2 linked regions of the Arabidopsis thaliana genome follow. The protein of the gene in region 2 interacts with the protein of the main gene of each other region in a pairwise test. Each region holds a gene or a part of one and is shown on either strand. Other genes may lie near its edges.

Region 1 (10,336 bases), on a different chromosome or scaffold from region 2:
ACAAAGAAACTCCGTTCAGCATTATTATTATCATGATCAGAATTTGTAGTCTCTTCTTCCACCATTATATCGCCGCCGTTAAGCGGCTCTTTCTTAACTGCACACTGATCTTCATTATTACCAGAGGTATTGTTACTTGAGGAAGAAGAATTCCCACCTTCAAGCAGCAGTTTTCCAGCTACTGCAGCCAACAAATCGAAAGACGATATTTGATGGTTTTCGCTTTTCTTCTTGAAAGCACTCTTCTAGCAAAACACAAAACACAAACATATATATCAGAAGGGAACATTAGAACATATATAAAACTGATAAGAAACACACAAAAAAGTTAAGAATTGTATTTACTCTTGGTGATCTGGCAGCTCGAGGTGTGTGAGGCACCTCATAGCCATTGAATCCATAATCGGGCCTCTTTTGCAACACCATGATTTGAAGAACATTTCAATCATTCAACAAAACGAAGGCATTCTCACGGATTACAAGATCCCTGGAGAAAAACAATTAGGTTACTGAGTCCAACAATGTATTAGCATTTATCTATAAAATTTCTTACGTTGCAAGAAAATCTCACATACTGTATATGTGATAGCAGATTATTTCCAATTTCAGACATCATTTTTTGTAAAACCCTAGCTAGAATCCAAGTTATTGAAATTTCCACGATCTAAAGCCTCATTTGATTAATGACCGTAGAGTGAAAACAGAGCATGAATTTACCAAGAAAAATAATGAACAATTCTGGTCTTGTAATATTTTCATGAAAAACAAACACGGTTCAGCTTCTGTGAGAAACCAAATTACAACATCAAAAAACCCTCAAGCTAGAAAACTATAAACATAAAAAACCGCAATTCAAATTGCAGATCCAAAAAAACTTCAAAAATAATCTCACCTTTTCTTCTGAAACAAGGTGAGATCAGAATGTTTATGATCTTATTTTCTCATCAACCCACACAAAGCAAAAAAGTTTCTGTCTTATTATTTATTTTTTGTTGTGGGAAATCGAAAAACCCCTTAATGTGGGAAAAAAGCACGGAAGGAGACAAGGGCTTAAACCCCTGGTCTTATACGAGAGTAGTAACACAGAGGACGTGTCTGAAAAAAGAAGAAGAGCGAATAACCGGCTATAACCAGTAAACCCCACCCTGAAGACCTGTTCTTCTTCTCCCTTCTTGGGTCACCACCACTGTCTCACGTACTTCCCCCTGATTCGGCCACGTGTTGTCTCTGTCGGATCGTCCGGCTTTTTTTACAACACACAAACTTCGACAATAACGTTGAGTCACACATGCCATGTAATGTTTTTTTTTTCCTTTCAGTCCAAGCCATGTCATTCTCCTGTTTATTTTATTTTGTCTTTTTCAGTTTTTCTTCTTCTATTTTATTTTATAATAACAAATTTGTTTTCATTGAGAACCCTATCTATTTTCTGATGCAAAATACTTTAACCTAAACCTAATTAACCTAACCGATCGATCAATTCGGTTTGCAGCTATCAACCGATCGGCAATGCTTCAAATATACTTTGGCATCACTGAACCGAACGGTTCTTCAGTTCTTTCCCAACCTGCCGAGAATCCGAATTGAATAGTCCTTCTAAATGCTGGAAACTTTGAACGGAACGATGGATCTGAGAGTAAATACCGAAGTGAAGCTCGTCTTCTTCTTCTTCTTCTCTGTCGGTAGCATCGAAATCGCGAAGGACAAAGAACACGTGTTTCAAGAAGATGAAATTAGGATTTCTTCTTGGGCTTACAAAGTTCCTACAGCCCAAAAAATAACATTTCTACACCACAGCCTACACTTTCGGCCCACAAAATAAAAACCCAGTGAATTTCCAAGCCCACCGAAAAAACCGAACCGCATAAACAGATTCTTTAAACCGAATAAAATCACAAATATCTGTATGAGTGGATATTCTTCTTGTATAATTAAAAGAGTACTTTCAACTTTCGATAGCACAAGAAGAAGCTATTAAGTATCAACACGTTCAACATACAGACTTAACACCCAAATTGTGCAATAGACGCTTCATAATACAAATTATACAGACTGATCATTATACACCCAACCATGAGAATAATGACTAACGTGCCTTTGGGTTTATTTCGGTGTCTACAACTATGCTCAGTTCCAGAGGACTGCTTAAGTCCACCTCTTGGCTTTTTCTCCACTTTTCACATGTTTCCAAACATTCGTTTAGCACATGAACGACCTGAGACATGTTTGGTCTCTCTTTGGAAGTACGGTTCACACATGACATTGCCAATTCAACAACTTTCCATGCAGAACTTGTGTCATAATCTTGATGGAGGTTTGGATCCACTATACTTTCAATATCACCATTTTCGAGTATAAAACTGGTCCATTCCACTATGTTACAATTTTCACGGGATAAATCAATCACATCTTGGCCGCTGATGATTTCCAGTAAGACAACCCCAAAGCTATATACATCACTCTTCATGCTTAACAAGCTGGTTTTGTGGTACCTATAACAAAAGATTTTAAAGATATGGTTCACTTTTTTTTTCAGAAAGCAAGAAAATCGATCGAAGACATGCATGTTTAAATGTACAATGTGATATAAATCCTCCACTACTTACTCCGGATCAAGATATCCAAATGTTCCAGCAACAACCGTAGGTTGAGCTTCATTTCCTATTAGGAAGGATCTTGAGAGTCCGAAATCAGCAATTTTGGCCTCAAATTCTTCACTCAACAATATATTAGTACTTTTGACATCTCTATGAACGATTTTTGGCTTGCATCCAGTATGCAAATACTCAATTCCTACCATATGTTAAACCTCGTATGTTAACTAATTATCATAAATATGGAGTTTAAGAGAGAATTTATATATATCAGCTTAAACTATATATAATAATATTTCTACACACCTATGGCGGATTCAAGAGCTATTTTAAGTCTTATCGGCCAGCTCAAAACAGAACAACCAGGTTTTCCTGCAATAACAACCAAGTGGCTTAAGAAGTTTGTTTGAAAGAGAACCTATAAATTGTTGTATCAAATTTTCATGTGTTTTACCTGAGAGATGCTCTTTTAAGTTTCCCTTTCCCATTAACTCGTAGATGAGAGCTAAGCCATTATCATCATCACAATATCCAATGAGGCTTACTAACTTTTCATGGTGAACTCTTAAAAGTAGTTCGACCTAACAATCAAGGACGACATAAAGAAAAAAGTGTAACCAATTGATTCCTGATCTCAAACATTAACCTCTTTTTCCAAAACTTTAGTAAAAGATTTAATAAGAATACCTCTGTTTTGAATTCTTTATAGCCCTGAGCTGATGAATGAGAAAGCACTTTAATAGCTGCTTGTTCATTATTTAAACAACCTTGATAGACAACACCGAACCCTCCTTTACCAATAACAACTTGAAAGTTATTTGTCATTTTGTTAACGTCAGAGTAAGTAAATCTTCTATTTTCCGATTTGAAGGATGAGCGTGTAACTGCATAGAAAAATTTAACAGAATTCCATGAGAGCTATACAATATGGGATTATATTCTTCTATATGTTATTCTCCTTTAAGTACCTTTCCCAGCAGATGGCTTTCTCCTTCTTAAAACAAATATGAGAACTAACACAAGTATGATAATGGCCACTGCAGAAACAGATGCCGCAACCGCAGCTGTTGGGAATCTTGTACCGCAAGACACACAAATCATATTTTCGTCAACCCTAAAGAATAAAGAACGTAGTGAATTTCAGAAACGAGAGTGGGCACGTAGTAAATCAATAAAGATCATCTCAAAAAGAAATCTTACAATAGCTTTAATCCTTCCTTTTTTCTATCAAGAAGGGCTTGAGGAACCAAACCGCTAAGTTTGTTTCCACTTAAGTTTCTGTGAATATATAGACAAATCAGTAGATCATCTAGTTAGTAAATGTAAAACATTATGATAAAAATGGCTTATTTTGCTTTCAACAACACTTACATGACCAACAAATATTTCATCTTGGCTAGAAATTCAGGCACTTTACCAGTCAAGTTGTTTTGGGACAGGTCCCTGTTGCAACAAAAAATTGTTAACAAGTGTTTTGAATACATCTTCATTTTGTTATAGAGATACGTACAGTTCTTGAAGTTGAGTTAGATTTTGTATGCTAGGTGGTATAACTCCATTTAATCCACTTGAAGACAAATCTCTGTTTGGAAGATCCAAGACATATCACATCAGATACATTTCAGGGCTTAAGATTTGCTAACAACATTGAGTTAGAATAAATGCTCTCACAATTTCACGATTCTTGGTGGTGTGGACACATCAATTACGTTGCAGCTTAAGCCAGTCCACAAAAACTGTTTAGGGACACATGGATCGCCCTGCCAGCTGATTCTGTTCAGTCCATAACTAGCTTGAATATTCTTTACAGCAATGACTGAAACATGGTGCAAATTAGCAAGAAATAATACGTGTAAAAAGCTATATGCATATTTGTTCAAAGGCAACATACCATCATTTTGATTTGTTTCTGATTGAGGAAACTCAATGCCCGTGAAAATTTCGAAAGCATTCATCAAGGGTGGAAGAGTCGATTTCGGAGTTTTTATAAGTTGCAGACGACAAAATCCTCCCTCGCATGTCAGTGGTACATTGTTGAACATAACTTGTGCTTCAAATCTGGTAGGACGGAAAGGATCGAAATGAACTTTATTATTTACCACAACTTCGAATTCTCTAGTTTCATTGGCCTGGACTTCCATGATCTCGGCGATGTAAATATAACCGTAAACCTGGTCAGTAGCCGTCTTCAAATTCCAGGTAATGGTCATTGGATCACTGGCATTAGCGGGCATGGCGCCGGTCCTAAGTACATCTTGTGGTGGGTCATAGCCATCTATAGAATCAATAACGTGGTGACTTGTGTTTATATGCGTCCATTCTGGTAATATCAACGGCACCCAAATTCTATCATGCACATCTTGGGGATAACTGCCAAAATCAAGTTATATATTTTACTTTACATCAACTAATAACAATAATTAATACTGTATAATCTTGGTTTACGCTAGATGGCTTAAATGACAATAATATTAAAGTTTTTGTGGAGATTAAAGTTTCTGCTCATAATCTACTTTGGTTATTTATAAAGCATAAGGTGAAAATAAGGTACCGTATATAGTTGTTTGAATCGGTGAAATAGAACCGGTTATAATTCCTCAAGGAACCGGTTTGAGCAATATAAGTATCATATAGCAAGGGTCTCAACTCTATGGATGATATCATTGGTGTACTCGTCCCTGTCTTGACGAGACATATGTCCAAGATGTTAGACCTTGTGATGTGAATGATCTCCTCCAGAACTCCATCACCTGACTTCCCCATATCTATGGTTGTCCAAATATTAGGACCAAGATAGAGGTCGAATCTTGGAGAATTGTTAAGCCCGTCATAGTTTCCATATCGAAACATAACCCTGATTAGATAATTTGTGTCTTGCTTGACATTTAGACTGTAACAATTTCGGATTCCATCCGGAAAGTATCTCAAAACCGTATATGGCTTCCTGAGTTTCATAAGCAAGTCTTTTTGGACATTACCAGTTTTTCCTCCTTGAATGAAATCAGCATCGGATATGTACGTCAGATTGCTATTTGCTTCGTTGTAAGGAGACTCGTTAGAAGCTAATCCACAATCCAAACTGATGAATCCTGGTAAGACCGAAAAGGGAGAGGTACATATTGTTTTTCTTATATAAAGTTCTATCTCAAAAAAAAATTTAGAATGGTTTATTTCCAAAATTATTGTAAAAAAGAAAAACAGATGATAAAAAGACCTTGTTGATTCTGAGATTGAACAAGATGTAAGATGGATAAAGTGGCACACGCAGCAAACAGAAGCCTGGTGCAAGTGTCCATTTTTGATGATTTCTTCGTTCACAACTAACAAAACTTACTACTACCAAAGTTTTGAAATGGACAAATTTTTAGTGTTATAAGCTGCAAATGGAATTAATCATGGTGACGTCTACGTATAAATTTTGTTTTAAAAACTTAAACTTTTGCCATGGTTTTATCTAACGAATAATAACAGCTAACCACTGGTATAATATCCATATAAAATAAATCAAGACGTTAGTGGTTGATTATAAAATTTTTGAAATGAAAAATATGCAACCAGGTTATATACTCTCTATATTTTAAAAATCTCGATTCATTTGTTCACTTTTGCTTATATTCGTGGTTTGATTCTGACACGATCGGTGACTTTGCCATATATGAATATGACATCCCTTCACACACACGGTAATAACTCATTTTCTCAGGTTAATCTACTATAGGTGTGCTTGATGATAACCAATTAGAATCAATCAGTTCTACTAATTTCCACTTGCAAACCTTTTTTATAAAATTTAAACATGACACACACTTGTCAGATTTTATAATTCCACTTGAGAAAAGTCTTACCATAATCAAATTATTAGACAAATTATTTCGAATTTGGTTAGAAGATCGGTCCAACTCAATAGGTGGCTTATTGTTATTGGTATGTGAACGTTGACATATTTCCCGTTATGATCCGCCCCAAGCAGAAATATAAGTTAATAAATAATTATTTAACAATTCATCCGTTTTTTATATCCAAAGGTTTGATTTGGCATGTTTTATATTGCAAGTACATTGGCAATTCGTAATCCTTTTTTTTTTTTGGACAGAGGTGGGAAAATGAAAAACCTCCGTGGACTTCTATTGGCCTTCCTAGTTTTGTCTTTAGGCATTTCCGATTTTCTTCGAGCACAAGATCAACAAGGTATAACTTTTTTTGTTTCAGGTTTTCTTCTTTTAACTTTGACTAAACATGTTTCCTATCACAATTTAGTCATTAATTCAGTTTCCAAACTTATTTTTTTACCAAATTATTTCTCTGTTTTTTTTCTTTTGCCTTTATCAGGATTCATCAGTTTGGATTGCGGGTTGCAAGCCGATGAGTCTCCTTATACCGAACCATTAACAAAGTTAACATTCACATCAGACGCCGATTTCATCAAAAGTGGAAAAAGCGGCAAGATTCAAAATGTTCCGGGGATGGAGTATATAAAGCCATACACGGTTTTGAGATATTTTCCAGATGGAGTACGAAACTGTTATACTCTTATCGTCATACAAGGCACAAACTATCTGATCGTAGCCATGTTTACTTATGGAAACTACGATAATCTTAACACACACCCAAAGTTCGACCTTTATCTTGGTCCAAATATATGGACCACGGTCGATTTGCAAAGAAATGTAAACGGAACAAGGGCGGAAATCATTCACATACCAAGGTCAACTTCTTTGCAGATTTGTCTTGTTAAGACGGGAACAACTACGCCGCTAATATCAGCTTTAGAACTACGACCATTGAGAAATAATACTTATATTCCTCAATCTGGTTCCCTCAAGACATTGTTCCGCGTCCATTTGACTGATTCCAAAGAAACTGTTCGGTAAGCCAACTCAAAACCAATTGGTAATGAATAGATTGGTTTCCACTGGATACACTGTTCGGTAATACTTTCCATCCTTTCTCTTCAGGTATCCAGAAGATGTCCATGATCGTCTTTGGAGTCCATTTTTCATGCCGGAATGGAGACTGTTAAGAACAAGTCTCACGGTCAACACTTCTGATGATAACGGCTATGACATACCGGAAGACGTAGTGGTTACGGCAGCCACACCTGCAAATGTGAGTTCACCATTAACCATTTCTTGGAATTTGGAAACACCTGACGACTTAGTTTATGCATACCTCCACGTCGCTGAGATCCAATCCTTAAGGGAAAATGATACCAGGGAATTCAACATTAGCGCAGGCCAAGATGTTAACTATGGACCTGTTAGTCCTGACGAGTTTCTAGTGGGTACTCTATTCAATACATCACCAGTTAAATGTGAAGGAGGGACATGCCATTTGCAACTAATAAAAACTCCAAAATCAACTCTCCCTCCCCTCCTCAATGCTATTGAGGCTTTTATAACAGTGGAGTTTCCGCAGTCTGAAACTAATGCAAATGACGGTATGTCAGCAAAATCTGAGTATATATATACTTTTTTGTATATACTTAAGTGTTTTCATTCTGTTATTGTGTGTTAGTCCTTGCTATCAAGAGCATAGAAACAAGCTATGGATTAAGTAGAATTAGTTGGCAAGGAGATCCATGTGTTCCTCAACAATTATTGTGGGATGGTCTTACCTGCGAGTACACCAATATGTCTACACCACCAAGAATCCATTCCTTGTACGTCCATGGCTATTCGTAACATTAAAACAGTTTTTTGTTAAGCTCTGCATTTCGTAACATCTTACACTTTAAATGTGTGTTATGATCTTTAATTACCACCAGAGACTTGTCCTCAAGTGAACTAACTGGAATTATAGTTCCTGAGATCCAAAATCTTACGGAGCTTAAAAAATTGTAAGTATGAACACATTGCCAATTTTTTATCAAGGTCAAACACATACTCTGTTTTACCTGAATACTCTGTTTTACTTGAATACTCTGTTTATCAAGGCCAAACATATAATCAATTAATTCATTTTTGCATATGATAGGGACTTTTCAAATAATAATCTAACAGGTGGAGTACCTGAATTTCTAGCCAAAATGAAATCATTGTTAGTCATGTAAGTTACTTGGTCACTCATATGAATCACATTGCCAATTTATTATCCGAGTCTGTTGATGTTTATTTTTTACCTAGGCAGAAACTTAAGCGGAAACAACCTTAGTGGATCAGTCCCTCAAGCTCTTCTCAACAAAGTGAAAAATGGGTTGAAGTTGAAGTAAGATCTTCTCAACTATATTTAGTCTTCAATAGTTGATGGTCATTGAAATATGATATCTTAATTTGCAGTATGTCTTCACTAACACTTGATTAGCTTGTTTACAATACTAGCATTCAGGGAAATCCAAACCTATGTTTTTCCAGTTCATGCAACAAAAAGAAAAATAGCATCATGTTACCAGTTGTTGCATCACTTGCTTCTTTGGCTGCTATAATAGCAATGATCGCTCTGCTTTTTGTTTGTATTAAAAGACGCTCATCAAGCAGAAAAGGTATCTGTATCAAATTCATCAAACCAGAAATATTATTGTATGCATACATAATTATAAAGTGATTTCTAATTATTTGTGTATGGTTCTAGGTCCATCACCAAGCCAACAATCAATAGAAACAATAAAGAAAAGATATACATATGCCGAAGTTCTTGCCATGACAAAGAAATTTGAAAGGGTTTTGGGTAAAGGAGGATTTGGAATGGTCTATCATGGTTATATAAATGGTACTGAAGAAGTAGCGGTCAAGCTACTCTCTCCATCATCAGCTCAAGGCTATAAAGAGTTCAAAACAGAGGTTTCTTTGGCACCCTTATGAATTTTTATACATTTTTGTAAGGCTAAGTTGACGTATATTATATATTGTACATATTTGGATAGGTAGAACTTCTTCTAAGGGTTTACCACACAAATCTGGTAAGTCTTGTTGGATACTGTGATGAAAAAGATCATCTGGCCCTCATCTACCAGTACATGGTCAATGGCGATTTGAAAAAACATTTTTCAGGTAACACATGTATATTCTCATGCATATATCATGACAGAAATGCATCGTGTTGATATGTGACATTCATGTCTATGCTAATACATGCAGGTAGCTCCATCATTAGCTGGGTTGATAGACTAAACATAGCTGTTGATGCAGCGTCAGGTTCGTCATTTTCATTTCCTTTTAACACCACTTGATCAAACTTTCTATTGTTTTGTTAAACACCAAAGAACTTTGGAGACAGGTTTGGAGTACTTGCATATTGGTTGCAAACCGCTGATAGTTCATAGAGATGTAAAAAGTTCTAACATACTATTGGACGATCAATTACAAGCTAAGCTTGCAGATTTTGGGCTTTCTAGATCTTTTCCCATTGGGGATGAATCTCATGTGTCTACACTTGTTGCTGGAACATTTGGATACCTTGATCATGAGTAAGAATTTTAGCTCTTTCTGAAAACTATCTTCTCTACCGGTTAAAACAAAAGAATCATAATCATTTCGTCTTGCAGATACTACCAAACTAATAGGTTGTCTGAGAAGAGTGATGTCTACAGTTTTGGTGTTGTACTGCTAGAAATTATTACAAACAAACCGGTGATCGATCATAACCGCGACATGCCTCACATAGCAGAATGGGTGAAACTTATGCTTACTAGAGGAGACATTAGCAATATTATGGATCCTAAACTTCAAGGGGTCTATGACTCTGGTTCTGCATGGAAAGCTCTTGAATTAGCAATGACATGTGTGAATCCTTCTTCCTTGAAAAGA
Region 2 (8,016 bases):
TGCTGATCCCGCCATGGGGCAAACAGGGCATGGAACATATGGACACGCTGGTCCAGCTTTTCCAAATAAATCCTTGGTGCGGCCTCATTTTGTCACATCTCCTGATGTTCCCCATCTCTCTCCCGTTGAAATATACCGAAAACAACATGAAGTCACAACAACTGTAAGTTCATATTTCTTGAATTCCTTTGCTTAACTTGTCAGTTTAATGTTTTAAAGCTATAATGTGCTGTAATATTTTGCAATTGTTGTTTCAGTGAATGTTTGTCCATAAAACTCTACTGAGAATGTGGGATTGGACGAACTTCAACTGGAATAAGTAATAGCATTTTAGAATAGTGTTAAACCTTGCACTTTCTCATGTATTCTAATCTGTTTACGGCCTTTAATAATTAATCGTTTGTTGCGCAGGGCGAGAACATTCCAGCACCATACATCACATTTGAATCTAGTGGTCTCCCACCTGAAATCCTTAGAGAGGTCAGTTTTATAATGAACTTTATCAGTGGCGTAGGTTCTTCACATATATGGTGTGCTAATGTTTTTGTCTTTGTTTTTCAGTTGCTTTCTGCTGGATTTCCATCGCCAACACCGATCCAGGCCCAAACATGGCCAATTGCTCTGCAAAGCAGGGATATAGTTGCAATTGCAAAAACTGGTTCTGGTAAAACATTGGGATACTTGATCCCTGCCTTCATTCTTCTAAGGCACTGTCGTAACGACTCCCGCAATGGCCCCACAGTTTTGATCCTAGCTCCTACTCGGGAGCTAGCCACACAAATACAAGACGAAGCACTAAGGTTTGGACGGTCTTCCAGGATATCATGCACTGTAAGTTTAATTTGAGTCTCGTTGACAGTTATCGCTAGGCTGATAGAGCCATACTGTGTTTTTGTTTACGAATCTATGTTCTGGTCATCAGTGTTTGTATGGTGGAGCTCCAAAGGGTCCTCAATTGAAAGAGTTGGAACGAGGAGCTGATATTGTGGTGGCAACTCCTGGGCGTCTAAATGATATACTGGAGATGAAGATGATTGATTTCCAGCAGGTTTCCCTTCTTGTGCTTGACGAGGCAGACCGAATGCTTGACATGGGTTTTGAACCCCAAATCCGTAAGATTGTGAATGAAATACCTCCTCGGAGACAGACTCTTATGTACACAGCCACTTGGCCAAAAGAAGTAAGAAAAATTGCAAGCGATCTTCTTGTGAACCCTGTCCAAGTTAACATAGGCAGGGTAGATGAGTTGGCTGCTAACAAAGCAATAACGCAGGTGATGATCATCTAAACCATTTTATATCACTGTAAAGCAATACTTACACATAACTTGGTGATGAGGTTACTGAAGCAAACCCATCCTTATAACGCAGTATGTTGAAGTAGTCCCACAAATGGAGAAAGAGAGACGTTTGGAGCAAATCCTTAGGTCACAAGAACGAGGTTCAAAAGTTATAATATTTTGCTCCACGAAGAGGCTTTGTGACCATCTTGCACGTAGTGTCGGACGTCATTTTGGCGCTGTTGTGATCCATGGAGACAAGACTCAAGGTGAGAGAGATTGGGTGCTTAACCAGTTCCGAAGCGGGAAGTCTTGTGTACTGATAGCTACTGACGTTGCTGCCCGGGGACTCGACATAAAAGACATACGGTTTGTTGTAATAATTCCTGGTATATATCTCTTTGCTTGTTTGTTATCAAGATTACTTACCTTTGTTCGTGTTTATACTACTTCAGAGTTGTGATCAACTACGATTTTCCAACTGGAGTTGAAGACTATGTCCACCGTATTGGGAGAACCGGTCGAGCTGGTGCAACTGGAGTTGCATTCACTTTCTTTACAGAGCAAGATTGGAAATACGCACCTGATTTGATCAAAGTCCTGGAAGGAGCGAACCAGCAAGTACCGCCTCAAGTAAGAGATATTGCAATGCGTGGTGGTGGTGGTGGTGGTCCCGGTTATAGCCAGGATCGAAGAGGTATGGTTAACCGGTTTGACTCTGGCGGTGGTGGTACCCGTTGGGATTCTGGTGGTGGGTTTGGTGGGCGTGGTGGTGGGTTTAGTGGCCGTGAGGGTGGGTTTGGAGGCCGTGAGGGTGGATTTGGGGGCCGTGAGGGTGGATTTGGAGGCCGTGGGGGAAGATTTGGAATGAGAGATGACTCATTTGGACGTGGCGGGAATCGTGGTCGGGGTTTTACTGGTCCTGATGCTGGTCATATGAATGTGGGTGGTAGAGGCGGATTTGGTCGGTTTGGCAATAATAATAATATGGAGAGCCGAGGCTTTGGTCGTGGTAGTGGTAGAGGCTTTGGTCGTGGTGTTGGACGGTTTGACAACAGAAGAGGTAGAAGTCGCAGCAGAAGTCCTGATTTGGTTCGGCCACGGCGCCGTAGCTCGAGCTATAGCCGGAGTCGAAGCCGGAGCGGGAGCTATAGTCGTAGCCGTAGCCGTAGCAGGAGCTGGTCACGTTCAAGGAGTCGCAGCCCTAGACATAGCCGTGACCGAGGTGGTCATAACAGGAGCAGAAGCTATAGCCGTAGTCCTAGTCCGGTTTATGAAAGACGAGATAGAGCGCCACGTGTTTCTGGGTTTGATATTAAACCACCAGTTGAATCTGTAGTGAACCTGGACATGAATGCCGCGGCAGCGATTGAAAACGTGGTTCCTACATCCTTGTCTGAGAGACAAGGGAATGGGGTTGTTGAATCGGAGGTAGAAGCGGCTTTAGTACGACCAGTGGTTGATGAAGAACCCTAAAACCAAATCATAGAATGATATAAATCCTCACTACGGAGATATCACAAGCTCACCCCAAATTTTTTGGGTATTGAATGGATTCACCAAATCAGACAGCTGACACGTCTTCTCAGATTTGTTGGCTGAGGTTTCTTTATTTTCATTTTTTTATTTTTTTCTCATGTTCTTGTTGTATCATGGAGAATTAGTTTGTAATGTATTTGAGAATTTTTATCGTTTATGTAAACGCCTTCTATTGCCTTCAGAAAAATCTAGACTAGCATCAAAGGAAGAACTTGGGAAAAACTGTAATTCTAGTCTTCTAGATAGACAGATACAGCATTTAGAGATGATAAATTTACAATGTTCTTGGAATGGTGAACGATGTTTAAATTCAATTCTTGCTTACATCATTGCATGAATTCTTTAGATTGAACGTACTTTTCAGTCAAAGAATTAGAGATGATGAGTCCATGTCATGACTTTTGTGATATTTTGATATTTTCTGTCATCTTATATTCATACAAGTACAAAAGTATCTCAACATTTGCAAGTACAACACAGACAAAAATTTCAAAATAAACAACAATTCAAGACAATTAATCCTTTTGTGTGGAAACTAATCAACAATTCAAGACACAATGAGAGGTTTTACTTATTGTCCAAGAAACCAATCTAATCGCTTTTTTTGCCATCCTCTCTCGTTGGCTTCTTGACATAATTCTTTGAATGGAAGTTGGAAAAGAGAGCCAAAAGAGAAGCATTAAATGCAGCGTTGAAACACCATCCCCAAATCCCGGTGCAACCCGACCCGAATAAGTGCTCTCGGAGCATCCAACCGGATAACCCGAAACTGAAAACAAACTGAACAATCTGACAATCCGTCACCAATCTCTTCCACTTGGGCCTCGATCCAACGGCGCAGAGGAAGTAGTAACCGTACATGATGACGTGTACCGTCGAATTCGTCACGAGCGCAATCGGAAACATCGATTGGCGAGTTCGGAGCCAGAGATAACACATGACCACAACCGTCGCGTGGTGGTACACGTGGAGGAAGGATAGCCGTTGGATTGATTTGCCGAGTATGATGAGGATCGTGTCTCCGAACTCGAGGATCTTCGAGAGGTAGAAGACTTGAGCCCAGAAGAAAAGCGGTCCGTTAGGTTTAACGTCGACGGGAAAGCAAATCGCGTGAAGGAAACGCGCCATCGGATCTGAAGACGCGTGAGATGAGGTTATTGAGAGAGTGCAACCGACGGCCATGACTAAGGAGAGGAGACAGAGGATTAGGCTGTGGACGGCTGTGATCGGTTTGAGGATACGTGGACTGAGTGATGGGAGTGAATCGATGGCGGATCGGAGGAGGAACGTGGCGGAGAGGTAAACGGAGACTACGACGGATACGAAAAAGACGGTGGAGCCTAGGGTTTCACCTTCGATCCAAGTAAAATTGGAGATGTAGGGGTGGTTAACGAGCCAGTAGGTTAAAGAGGAGTAAATTGATGCCATAGCCTCCGGTGAATCGCCGACGAAGTTTGGGGAGTTGACGTTTGAAGATATGGTTTAGCGAGAGATGAAGGATCAAAGGCTTACCCAATTGGCTAATTTTCATGAAAGTGGGTCCCAGAGGATCTTGTTTTTATCTTTTTTAAGTATAGTATCGTATAATATTATATTTAGATGATATGCTACTGTTGTTGTTATTTGTTGAATTGGGCCACGCCGCCGTAGCCCGTAGTTCTAGCCCGGTTTATGAGGACTACGAGATAGGCCCATTGTAGCAGCGGCGGCTCTTAAAAACCGTGGTCACTCTCTCCTCCATTATCATAAAGAGAGGGTTTGGTACGACCAGTGGTTGATGAACCAACACTGGTAGGCATAAAAAATATTATAGAACTAATCTCAGTGTCCAATCCTTTAAAGAAACGTTGGTTGGCAAATGTTGTATAGAAAGATGTATGCAATAAGAAGAATCAGACGATCATGATGATTTTATGTGACATTTTTATATATTTTGTCATCTTATTCGTTAATATATAAAACAATTTCAAACCATGCATCCCAACATTTTACAGTAACAACTAACAACACACATCAACATATCCAAACTAGATATATATATAATAATCATGACAATTTAATCGTTTTTCTTGGAAAATAATGTAATCGCTTTATTTGCCCACCTCTCTCCGTGAATAAATATAAAGGATTCGATCTTATACAAAGGCGACGTTGTAGTCTTCTCATAGTTCTTGGAGTGGAAGTTGTAGAAGAGAGCCAATAGAGAAGCAGTAAACACACCATTGAAATAAACTGTCCAAATCCCGGCGCAACCCGACCCGAAATAATGCTCTGGGAGCATCCAAGCGGCTCCTAACCCCATGCCGAAAGCAAACTGAACCATTTGAAAATTCGTCACCAACTTCTTCCACTTGGGCCTCGATCCGATAGCGCAGAGGAAATAGTACCCGTACATAATCACATGGACCGTCGAGTTCAACACGAGCCCAACAGGAAACATCGATTGACGTGTTCGTAACCAGAGGTAGCACAAAATCACAACCGTTGCGTGGTGGTAGACGTGGAGGAACGAGAGCCGTTGGATTGATTTGTTGAGTATGATGAGAAGTGTGTCTACGAACTCAAGGATCTTCGAGAGGTAAAAGACTTGAGCCCAAAAGAAAAGCGGTCCCTTAGGTTTCACGTCGAGGGGGAAACAAACGGCGTCGAAGAGACGCGCCTTCGGGTCCGAGGAAGAGATTAGGGAGAGAGTGCAACCAACGGCCATGGTTAAGGAGAGGAGGAAGAGAATGAGGCTGTGAACGGCTGTGATTGGTTTGAGAATGCGGGGACCGAGTGTGGGGAGTGAATCGACGGTGTATCGGAGGAGGAATGTGGCGGAGAGGTAAAGGGAGACGACGACAAAGACAAAGAAAACGGTGGAGCCTAGTGTTTCACCTTCGGTCCACGTGAAGTTGGCAATGTAGGGGTGGTGGACGAGCCAGTAGGTTAGGGTGGAGTAAACAGATGCCATTATTCTCTAGCGAAGTTAGTTTGGAGGAGTTGAAGTTTGATATGGCTTATATACACATACTAATGGAGTAAACGGATGGTGGCGTTGCGTCTTCTTATTTGTTTTGGAACATGAAGTACAACGGTGCCATTGCGTCATGAATACTCTAAGTCACGCAACTGCTCCGGTTTCCCGGCACTGATATGGGAGAGAGACGATGGGGTCATCAGAGGCTTACCAATTTGAATAACGTGGGAAGGTAATATCGTAATGAATGCATCATCAATATTTTTTTATCATGCATAAGCATAACGTGGGAAGGTAATATCGTAAAATCTAGTTATCAATGTGATGATGATTAATGCTAATGGTGTTTTAAAAGGAGAAAAACTTGTCTTTAATAAGAGGAAGTTTAGGCTTGGTGACTGAAAATTGTCGTTTTTTCAAATAAGGCTATAGGTTTTTAAAACATTTGGGCTTAGAACCCATTTCGGTAGGGACTTAACCAAAGATAACTGAAACATTTGAACTCCTAGGCCTTGTCATCTAACACACATTTCTTATTTACATAATGGCTTGTATGATTTGAACTACAAGCCAAAAAACTTCAAAAGGGTGTAATCTTTTTGAAGATGGATGTTGGTCTTCATTTCTTGGCCAGTAATTTCTTCGGGAGCTTATCGAGGGGCGTTGATTTAAGTAAAAATAGCCTCGCAGCTCGCTCTCGCAATGTCCCTCTGCATTTCAGACCGCGTGACTGAAGCTCAGTCTTCAATCTCTCCATCCCCAAAACCTCCATATCTGTGGCTGCTTTGAACTCAGCAAAGTTAAGCGGTTCAACAGGTTTGCAACACACTCTTTCTTTCGCAGTTCCTCCTCTCTTTACGACAAAATCATCGTTTCCACTTGATTTCTCCACCTTTTCAAGTTGATCCATTGCATCAGCAACAGCAAAATCATCCATCTTCTCTTCGTTAATTCTTTGAACAACCGTGATCTCTCCCTTAACTACATCTGAACTTTGGTGCACTACAAAGTCGTTCTCACCATCATGGGATCCATCCAAAACAGAGCCTGAGCTTTCATCAGTATCCTTATGATCTGAATCAACTTGACCACCAACAACAGATTTCTCATCTTCCTCGTCACTGCTATCATCACTGTCACTATCTTCAACAGCTCTCTTTCCATTCCATATTTTGATTCGTTTCGATTTTTCAGATTCTGCAGTACCCATCTTCTTCCCTTTTCTCTTATTCCCATTCTTGAAAGTTTCGTTCAAAGCCAAATGCACAGCCAAAATACACTTATCAGATCCCCCCTTATACTTGTTGACATTCTTCTGCGTAGCTCCATCTCCAACACCTTGTTTAGCATTATTGGATTGCTCCTTCAGATACTCAAGAGCCTTTTTCTCAAAATTCCTCCCTTATTCACCATCCTTCCACTCCTGAAGCCTGTTCTCGGCGTTTACATCTCCGTTCACTCATATCCCTACACGAATCGAAATTGTTTGTCTTCTTCTGTCCAGCTTTCATAACCACATTACGAAGTAACGATCCGAGTCCACCTTTGCCTCCACGGAGGGACAGGACAAGATTCATGGTGGTGTCAGACTGAGAAATCGCGGATGCGCCGGGGATTTGGAATCCTCCGCTTATCAATCTCTGTAGATGCGTCGGAATCTTCGTTTGCTCGAAGATCCGCTGCTTGATCTGCTCGCCACACGCTATCGGAGAGGAAAAGGTTAGGGTTACTGATTTTCCGTCGAGTAGTCTCACGAAAAACTGCAACGGCTTACAACTTTGATCCGCCATCGATTTTCGATTCTAAAGCTTGGACGAAGAAGAAGAACAAAGTTCGATTCGATTTCTGGAGAGAAATTGGGGGAAAGTTGAAAAACGGATCCCTAAGGTAGTCTGAGTCTCTCTCTCTCTCTGCTTGTTGGGCTAAGAATAAGATTTCTTTTTGGTAATGTGTTGGGCTAAGAATAAGATTGATATCTCTTCTGATGCGGTTTCTTCTTGTTGGGCTTCATAGTTGGGCTTTTCGTTTTGAAAAGTCTTAGGTTTTATGTTTTGCTTTGGCTAGTTTGTTGTCTATGACCTTTTTAGCTTGATGTATGTGTTTCGTATCTTAATAAAATACAAAAGAGTGTATTACAAAAGAAAAAAAAAAAGATGTTTGTAGAGTGAATTAAAATTATAGTATAAATTATGCGAGAAAAATGAATACTATAAAAAATGGTTAGCAAACTAGTATTTTC

What was found. The genes of interacting proteins can lie anywhere in the genome.
Region 1: the proteins of AT3G06470 (region 2) and AT1G07550 interact in a protein complementation assay, tested with the Arabidopsis thaliana proteins (one large-scale study listed by BioGRID).

The regions. Positions count from the first base shown.
Region 1 is NC_003070.9:2,320,623-2,330,958, forward strand, and holds AT1G07550 (Leucine-rich repeat protein kinase family protein), read right to left. Parts: upstream 5,949-10,336; 5' UTR 5,891-5,948; coding exon 5,809-5,890; intron 5,684-5,808; coding exon 5,146-5,683; intron 4,965-5,145; coding exon 4,486-4,964; intron 4,411-4,485; coding exon 4,266-4,410; intron 4,177-4,265; coding exon 4,105-4,176; intron 4,038-4,104; coding exon 3,966-4,037; intron 3,873-3,965; coding exon 3,795-3,872; intron 3,709-3,794; coding exon 3,563-3,708; intron 3,479-3,562; coding exon 3,282-3,478; intron 3,176-3,281; coding exon 3,049-3,175; intron 2,967-3,048; coding exon 2,901-2,966; intron 2,794-2,900; coding exon 2,607-2,793; intron 2,493-2,606; coding exon 2,087-2,492; 3' UTR 1,921-2,086; downstream 1-1,920. Other genes in the region: TRFL2 (TRF-like 2), read right to left, coding at 1-245, 346-426; AT1G07560 (Leucine-rich repeat protein kinase family protein), read left to right, coding at 6,698-6,782, 6,924-7,461, 7,550-8,031, 8,109-8,253, 8,359-8,430, 8,568-8,639, 8,721-8,798, 8,912-9,072 and 5 more.
Region 2 is NC_003074.8:1,980,436-1,988,451, reverse strand, and holds AT3G06470 (GNS1/SUR4 membrane protein family), read right to left. Parts: upstream 4,722-8,016; 5' UTR 4,247-4,721; coding exon 3,410-4,246; 3' UTR 3,122-3,409; downstream 1-3,121. Other genes in the region: AT3G06480 (DEAD box RNA helicase family protein), read left to right, coding at 1-163, 412-480, 562-831, 923-1,273, 1,371-1,648, 1,735-2,755; AT3G06460 (GNS1/SUR4 membrane protein family), read right to left, coding at 4,875-5,771; AT3G06455 (ubiquitin family protein), read right to left, coding at 6,397-7,115, 7,249-7,567.